Linked DNA regions of Rattus norvegicus. The protein of the gene in region 1 binds, or shares a complex with, the protein of each later gene. Links are inferred from orthologs where the notes say so. Each region holds a gene or a part of one and is shown on either strand. Other genes may lie near its edges.

Region 1 (4,373 bases):
ATAAATATTTTACACAGCACCAGGTAGCTGTCCTGGGGCTCTGCAGGCTTGTCTGCCCCCTCACCCAGGCTGTATGAGACGCCCCCCCTCCAGGGTCTGTGCTTCCTCTCTCTCCCCTGAAGCTCTGCACCTGCATGAGGTGGTGGCTTCACTCCTGGCCAGGGACGGAATCCACAGGAGGTGGGGCCCCTGGGAAGAGACTGTGGACTTCCGGGTCAGTCCAAGTTCAGCAGTCGTTTATTGTGCTCCAAGAGCTTCCAATCCCGGTTCTTGCAGCCTCCCTTCCAAAGGCAAGCCCGAGACAGAGCCAGGTTCACTTGGCCTGGGTCCTGTAATTCTTGGCAGGTCTATAGTCCTTATGGGAGAACCAGTTGGGGTGAAGTTCAGGCAGCAGGTCTGGGCATACATCTGCCCATAGTCCAAGTTTGCAGTGCTCTCTTCACAAGATGAAGCGTCTACAGACAGCTCTAAGGCACTAGAGATCTACAAGAGTTCTGGGGTCGAGTTACTAACCATCGGAACCATGATGGGGTCCTGGGTGACCCCTCAGGCCCCTGCTCAGAAATGCAGTGAGCTCTTGCACCTGGGCTAGAAACAGCAAGTAGTACTTGAGTGTATGCTGCAGCGTTAGCAAGCCAGGAACTGTAGCCACTGCAAAGAGTGACAAGGAGGTTCTGGGGACATTTTTTTTTTGAGTTCCTAGAGCCCCCACCCAACTTGTGCAAAGATGCTCCCTACTCACTCGAGGCAGTGGCAGAAACCACGCAGCGAAGTTTGACTGCGGCGCACAGATCGGCAGAAAGCCGAGTTTTGCTTCTCCAAGTCCCGGGTGGGGGATGTTAGCGGCCAACAGCTGATGCAGCAGCGGCTAAAAATGCCTCATCTACAGACCTGGGGTCAAAGGGTCTTGGTGCAGGCTCTCTCCACGGAAACCTGCTGGCACCGCCCTTGAAGAAGCTCCGCCCCATGACCGCAGAAGGGGAGCGTCCAGCCGCGGACCCGCAGCTACCTCTATAGCAACCGCAGCAGGTCCTTTCGAGTCAACGCGTCACGTGCTTGTTTCTCAGCCAGTAATGGCCGCAGGCAGCTTCTCCCGATTCCCGAGGAAGCCTCTCGAGGGTGGTCTGACCTGCGGGCCTCTCTCCTTCCCTCAATTCCGCCGTCCTACCAGCGGTCTAGACGTTCCCAGGCTGCCGCATGAGCCCGCGTGCGCCCCGGTGGCGCGCTAGGACCTGGGCCTAGTGACCGGCCCTCGGAGCGCCACTTCTCCAGCACGGACCGCTGCCACGTTCGCGTGGCGTGGGCCGGAGGGTGGGGCTTGACTGCCAATGGGCGGAGCCTTGGTCTGAATATTGAGGGTAGGTCCTAGTTACTGTAGGGCGGGGCCGGTAGAGAGCGCAGCGGTAGCTTCTCCGGGCTAAGCGAACCCGCTCAATCCGCGAGGCTCCGCCTTTGCTCACGTGTCCCCATGCCAGCCCCGCCCCACACCGGAAGTTCCGGTGGCGGATCGCCGACCGGGCGGAGCTGATAGCTGCGCGGGCTGCGAGATCTAGGTGGCCGGGCGCGGAGCCCAAGCCGTGCCGCGCGGCGCCATGAAGGGCAAGGAGGAAAAGGAGGGCGGCGCGCGGCTGGGCACTGGTGGCGGCGGCAGCCCTGATAAGAGCCCGAGTGCGCAAGAGCTCAAGGAGCAGGGAAACCGGCTCTTCGTGGGCCGCAAGTACCCGGAGGCGGCGGCCTGCTACGGCCGCGCCATCGTGAGTGCGGGGGGCGGGGGCGGGGGCGGGGCCCGATGTGCCTCCCAGTTCTGTGATTCCCGGACGATTTCTGGCAGCCTAGACCCGGATTGCTGTTCCCGAATCCAGGGCAGATTGACTGGGGACTGGCGGGCGGGATGCTTGATTGAGGCAAGCTAAGGATGACACCAGAAATTCTTGCCCCTTGAGGCTCCCAAGCCTAAAGCTGGTGGAGGGGTTCTGGGATTTTTCTCAAAAACAGTTGGAGGCAAGAGAGCATGGCTAGAATCCAGAGCTCTGATAACTCGGAAATCTCCAGTTCCTCTCTTCCACCCATGGGCCCCCAATGCTGGAGAATTGTCCGGATCATTGGCTTTCAGCTTGCTATTAGAGAGGGGATCAGATGAGCCCACATTCTTTGTCACCTGATCTTGGTTCCCAGACCCGGAACCCACTTGTGGCAGTGTACTACACCAACCGGGCCCTGTGCTATCTGAAGATGCAGCAGCCTGAACAGGCACTTGCTGACTGCCGGAGAGCCCTGGAGCTGGATGGGCAGTCTGTGAAGGCGCACTTCTTCCTGGGGCAGTGCCAGCTAGAGATGGAGAGTTATGATGAGGCCATTGCCAATCTGCAGCGAGGTGGGCTGACAAGATGCCAGATTGTGGGCACCTTTGGGGCCAGGATTGTTGACAAGTGTAACCTAAAGTGTCCACTCCCCCAGCCTATAGTTTGGCCAAGGAGCAGCGACTCAACTTTGGGGATGATATTCCTAGTGCCCTTCGCATTGCTAAGAAGAAGCGCTGGAACAGTATCGAGGAACGGCGCATCCACCAGGAGAGTGAGCTGCACTCCTATCTCACCAGGCTCATTGCTGCTGAGCGAGAGAGGTGGGTCCCGCCCCCAACAGTTAACACCGAGTCAACAGTGCAAGTGTTTATTAAAGGACAGCAGCCGGTACATGGGAAGCCCGGGAGGAAAGAGGCCTGAGATGGGAAGGGATCTGTCATTTCCCTGTTGGGGCCATCACCAGCTGGCTTTTTCTTGACCCTCAGGGAACTGGAAGAGTGTCAGCGGAACCACGAGGGTGATGAGGATGATGGCCACATCAGGGCCCAGCAGGCCTGCATTGAGGCCAAGCACGTGAGGGTGCCCCTAGTCCACATGTGGGTCGTTGTGTGTGTGTTTTTGTGTGTGGCATGAGAAGTGCCCCAGCCTATGGTGGCTCTGTTGGCCCATGCATGACATGAGTGCCCCGGTGGACAGAGTGTGTGTGTCTGTGTGGAGGAGACAGGAGTTGCCCACACATGGCGCTCAACTCTGCAGGATAAATACATGGCGGACATGAATGAGCTCTTCTCTCAGGTGGATGAGAAAAGAAAGGTAAGGACGGAGCCTTGAAGCTCATGGGCAGGCTCTGGTATGGTGACTTCCTTTCCAGTTGCAGACATTTCCCTCTTGTGCTGCAGAAGCGAGATATCCCTGACTACTTGTGTGGCAAGATCAGCTTTGAGCTGATGCGGGAACCCTGCATTACACCCAGTGGCATCACCTATGACCGCAAGGACATTGAGGAGCACCTGCAGGTAAGGAGGGCCTGTGGTCTCGGGACTGGGATCAGGGGACACTCAGGCCATTGAATACTCTTGACTCTGTCGTTGCAGCGCGTGGGCCATTTCGATCCTGTGACCCGGAGCCCTCTGACCCAGGAACAGCTCATCCCCAACTTAGCCATGAAGGAAGTCATTGATGCTTTCATCTCTGAGAATGGCTGGGTAGAGGACTACTGATACCCCATGTCCTGCCTGGCACCCTGGCCCAGGAGGGTCTGGAGGCAGAAGCTCCAGTCCCTGTATATAGTTTGTGTCCCTGGGCCTGCCCCCATCGGTCCTGATGATGGGTTCTGAACTGCTCCCCTTCTCAGCATATCCCTTGCTGGGCCATGAGCCTCCCTTGTCTCCCTTCTGGGCTGGAGAGCTGGTGAGGGTGGGTTGCTGCTGCTGCTGCCACTGTCCTGTAATAAAGTCTGTGAGCACTACATTGGCATGTGCTGGTGCAGTGGGCTTGCCAGTCGCTTGTTGGCTAGCCAAGGAAAGTGGATATGAAGACACTGGTGTCCAGATTGAGTGTGGCATGCCACCACCGATCAGGAAAGTACAGCGCCTGGGAGAAGGGGCACGGAAAAATAGTCTGATTCCCTAGTTTTTGGGTTAGCCCAACCCCCACCTACCAGCTACTGACTTCACCAGCCTGGATGGTACATTCTAGAGGCCGAGCTGATGGGGCTAGAGATGGGTATATTTCCAGGAGCCAGGCCAACGTGGTCTTGTTAGGGTGGAACTCAGGTGTCTTCTCAGGAGGGTAGAGGAACCAGCGCTGGAGGCAGGAATGTTAAGGTCACTCTCATGTGCTATGGACTACAAACACCAAATTCATGCCCCACCCTTGCACTGACCTTCCGACCATAGATAACCTCTGAGAAACCAGGCCCATGCCAGTGGAAGGGTACCCCAGATCCAGCTCCTGTGGGGTCAGTTGTGAATAGCTGATGAACAAAATATATACGGGCTTCCCCCAAATCTGTTTGAAAGGAGCACCTACCTGCAATTCCAAAGCTATAAGCAGGGGTGGTTCCCAGTA
Region 2 (2,714 bases), on another chromosome or scaffold:
AGCGTCCTACTCACAACCTGGAGAGGCAGAGCTAGCTGGGCCTGTGGGAAGGTCTCTGATGATCCTGGCTACTCTGTCCTTCCCTCACGTGACTGGTACCAGGGGAGGCAGGAGAACATGCTCTTTGGAGCCCAGGATTTTAGTTCTGAGTCTATCTGCCAACACCAAGCGTAACCACCTCGAAGCTCATTATCTTTGCCTGTGAAGTAGGGATGGTAATAGGACCTTCTTGGCGGGATTCTTAGCAACCGAATCTGAGGCAACACCCGAAATGTTGAAAGGGCTCAGCCGGTCATGGGCTTTTGTATTCTTACTAATATGGGCATTCCAAGGAAACCATTAACATGCCCTCATGGTTTCGAGTTTGTGGAAGAAGAAATCATATACTGGGCAGCTTCGTTCCCACCAAATAACAAAGAAAAGATCTTTTAATTCTTAGAGCTGGGTGGGGTGACACATGCCTACAATTACAGTCCTCGGGAGGTCTAAAAGTTAAGGTCTTAAGGCCAGCCAGGGCTCAGCAAGAGGCTGTCTCCTCCCACCTCCCAAGTCCTTCTGAGAAGCAGAATCAGATTTGAAAACACAGATCCCATCTTTGGTGCTCTCTGACTCAAGTTTATCTGACTCTGCCATCTCCACCCGCGGGTCTCATGATCTATGAAACAGAGGCTTGGATTCACGTGGTTTACTGAACGAGACTCTTAAAAGATGGTAACACGAGGCCGGAGTTCAGATCGGGACACCTTCATAGAAGCCAGGTGCGACCACACACGTCTGTAACCGAGGTGGAAAGATAGAGTATCCCTGAGGCCCAAAGGCTAGTTAGCCTCACCAAATTCACAAACTCCAGGTTTAGTGAGAGACCCTGTGCCTCAAACAATAAGAAGGCAAACAATAGGGGAAGATTCCCAAAATCAGGTTCTGATGGGAGGGGGGATGCCTGGGTGCGCACGTGCACACACGCACACATGCACACTCATGTGCACACACGCATGCACACGGGTGTGCACACACACATACAAACATGCAAAAGAACATTTTCTTTCCAACGAATACAGTAGTTTCAGCTAGTTTAAAAACAATCAGTGGGTAAGATCTTGTGTTTTGCTCTCCCAGGCTTCCTGCAGAAGTGGATCCAGTGACTGTATTTGCCTCACTTTCTCCAGAGGGTCTGCTCATCATTGAGGCTCCCCAGGTCCCTCCTTACTCACCCTTTGGAGAGAGCAGCTTTAACAACGAGCTTCCTCAAGACAACCAGGAAGTCACCTGCTCCTAAGACGTCAGCCTTGGTCCTTCTTTGCTCCAGGCCCCTGCCCCAGGGACTCTCTGATTTGAGGGTAGACGACTTTAGCAGCACTCAGATTTAAGGCAACTCAGATGTTGGGGGATGGGAGGGAGAACCAAATGACCATCCCTGGATAATGTAGTAGTAGATTTCTCCACAGGGTGACACAATGGGCCCGCCTCGCTTGGTTGCCTTAGGTCAAAGTATTGGGAGGTTTTTCTTCACCTTGTCTGGGTGAAGACACCACACGGTCTATAGTTGCAAAACAAGCAAATGGGGACTGAAGATTTCATGTTACATTTTTACCTTGCAGCTAACGCAAGACTTGCTTTTCTCTGGGGACCTTCCCACCACCCAGATCCCCTGCTCTGGGCCCTCCTTATATGTGGCTTGGTTGATGGGACTCATTGGCTTACCTCAGTGTGTTTCTAAACTCTCTGTCTAGAAGAGGTTATAGATAGGTCTTATATCCCCATATGGGATTTATCCACATAAAACACAGTCTGGATTTTTCACAGCATGACCCCATGGCTCTCAAACCATCACCACCAAGGACTCTGGGAGCCCCTCAGTTAATTCTCCGGCTAAGGTCCCCTTTATTGTGTCCCCTGTGTCCAAGTCAGGTTTTTACAGAGAGCTGTCTTCAGGCAGCTCCACCAGGAACCAAGCAAAGGTCAGACAGCCTGGCACGCAGGCTAGTGGTATTGTGTATGTGGGGGTGGGGGTGTCTTCATTGTGTGAATTGAGCTGTTGTTTAGGGGGAAGATAAGAGTAAATAATAATGTTCATAATAAAGGAGCTGATGTTCTTAGCACTCCGTGCTTCATTTATCGAGCAACTAAATGTTCTATCACCGAGGTGCACACACTATCAGGATGCTACGGCCTCAAGTAATGATTTCTCAATGAATAGCGGGCAGGACGGTATAAATGCTTCAAGCCTACTCCACAAGAACTTCAGATGTGCCGGCAGAGCTGTTTCTGCCGTTCTGCTTCCTGTATTTGGTCTACGCCCTTTGTGGTGACTCCACACAGCCATAGTCTGTCCTCGAGGTTGAAATACAGATGCTAGAATCCATCCTCCTGTGACAATGTAGGGAGGAGAAGGCTGGGGTGAAAGGGACGTCGAAGGTCATACGTCTGTCCAGAGTCCAATTCCTGGTGGCCCAAGAGGATGGGATGACGTCATAGCTACTTTTCTGGTTGCTGTGAAAAATTATTTTGACAAAAGCAGCTTAAGGAAGGAAAGGTTTGCTTTGGCTCACAGCGGAAGGGTACGAGCCAAGTACCCCTCCCCGCCCACAATTAGGTTTCGTTAGTGTTTTATCGCAGCAACAGAAATCAAGCTGGGACAGTGACTCTGAATCCTTACTTGGTGAAAGACACTCCAGCTAATTGATTTTATATATTCAGTCACACTAGGCTCCTAT

What was found. The genes of interacting proteins can lie anywhere in the genome.
Region 2: Stub1 (region 1) and Hspb8 share a complex: the UniProt entries of both Homo sapiens proteins name them as parts of the chaperone-assisted selective autophagy (CASA) complex. The link is inferred for Rattus norvegicus from reciprocal best matches to the Homo sapiens genes STUB1 and HSPB8.

What each region holds. Positions count from the first base shown.
Region 1 is NC_086028.1:15,354,676-15,359,048, reverse strand, and holds Stub1 (E3 ubiquitin-protein ligase CHIP), read left to right. Parts: upstream 1-1,489; 5' UTR 1,490-1,592; coding exon 1,593-1,754; intron 1,755-2,175; coding exon 2,176-2,374; intron 2,375-2,457; coding exon 2,458-2,623; intron 2,624-2,656; exon of another isoform or gene 2,657-2,788; coding exon 2,789-2,876; exon of another isoform or gene 2,877-3,059; coding exon 3,060-3,116; exon of another isoform or gene 3,117-3,202; coding exon 3,203-3,319; exon of another isoform or gene 3,320-3,397; coding exon 3,398-3,523; 3' UTR 3,524-3,771; downstream 3,772-4,373. Other genes in the region: Jmjd8 (jmjC domain-containing protein 8), read right to left, coding at 3,816-3,896, 3,975-4,109, 4,189-4,256, 4,335-4,373. UniProt on the Homo sapiens protein: E3 ubiquitin-protein ligase which targets misfolded chaperone substrates towards proteasomal degradation.
Region 2 is NC_086030.1:45,849,841-45,852,554, forward strand, and holds the end of Hspb8 (heat shock protein beta-8), read left to right. Parts: intron 1-1,116; coding exon 1,117-1,276; 3' UTR 1,277-2,099; downstream 2,100-2,714. UniProt on the Homo sapiens protein: Involved in the chaperone-assisted selective autophagy (CASA), a crucial process for protein quality control, particularly in mechanical strained cells and tissues such as muscle. Displays temperature-dependent chaperone activity.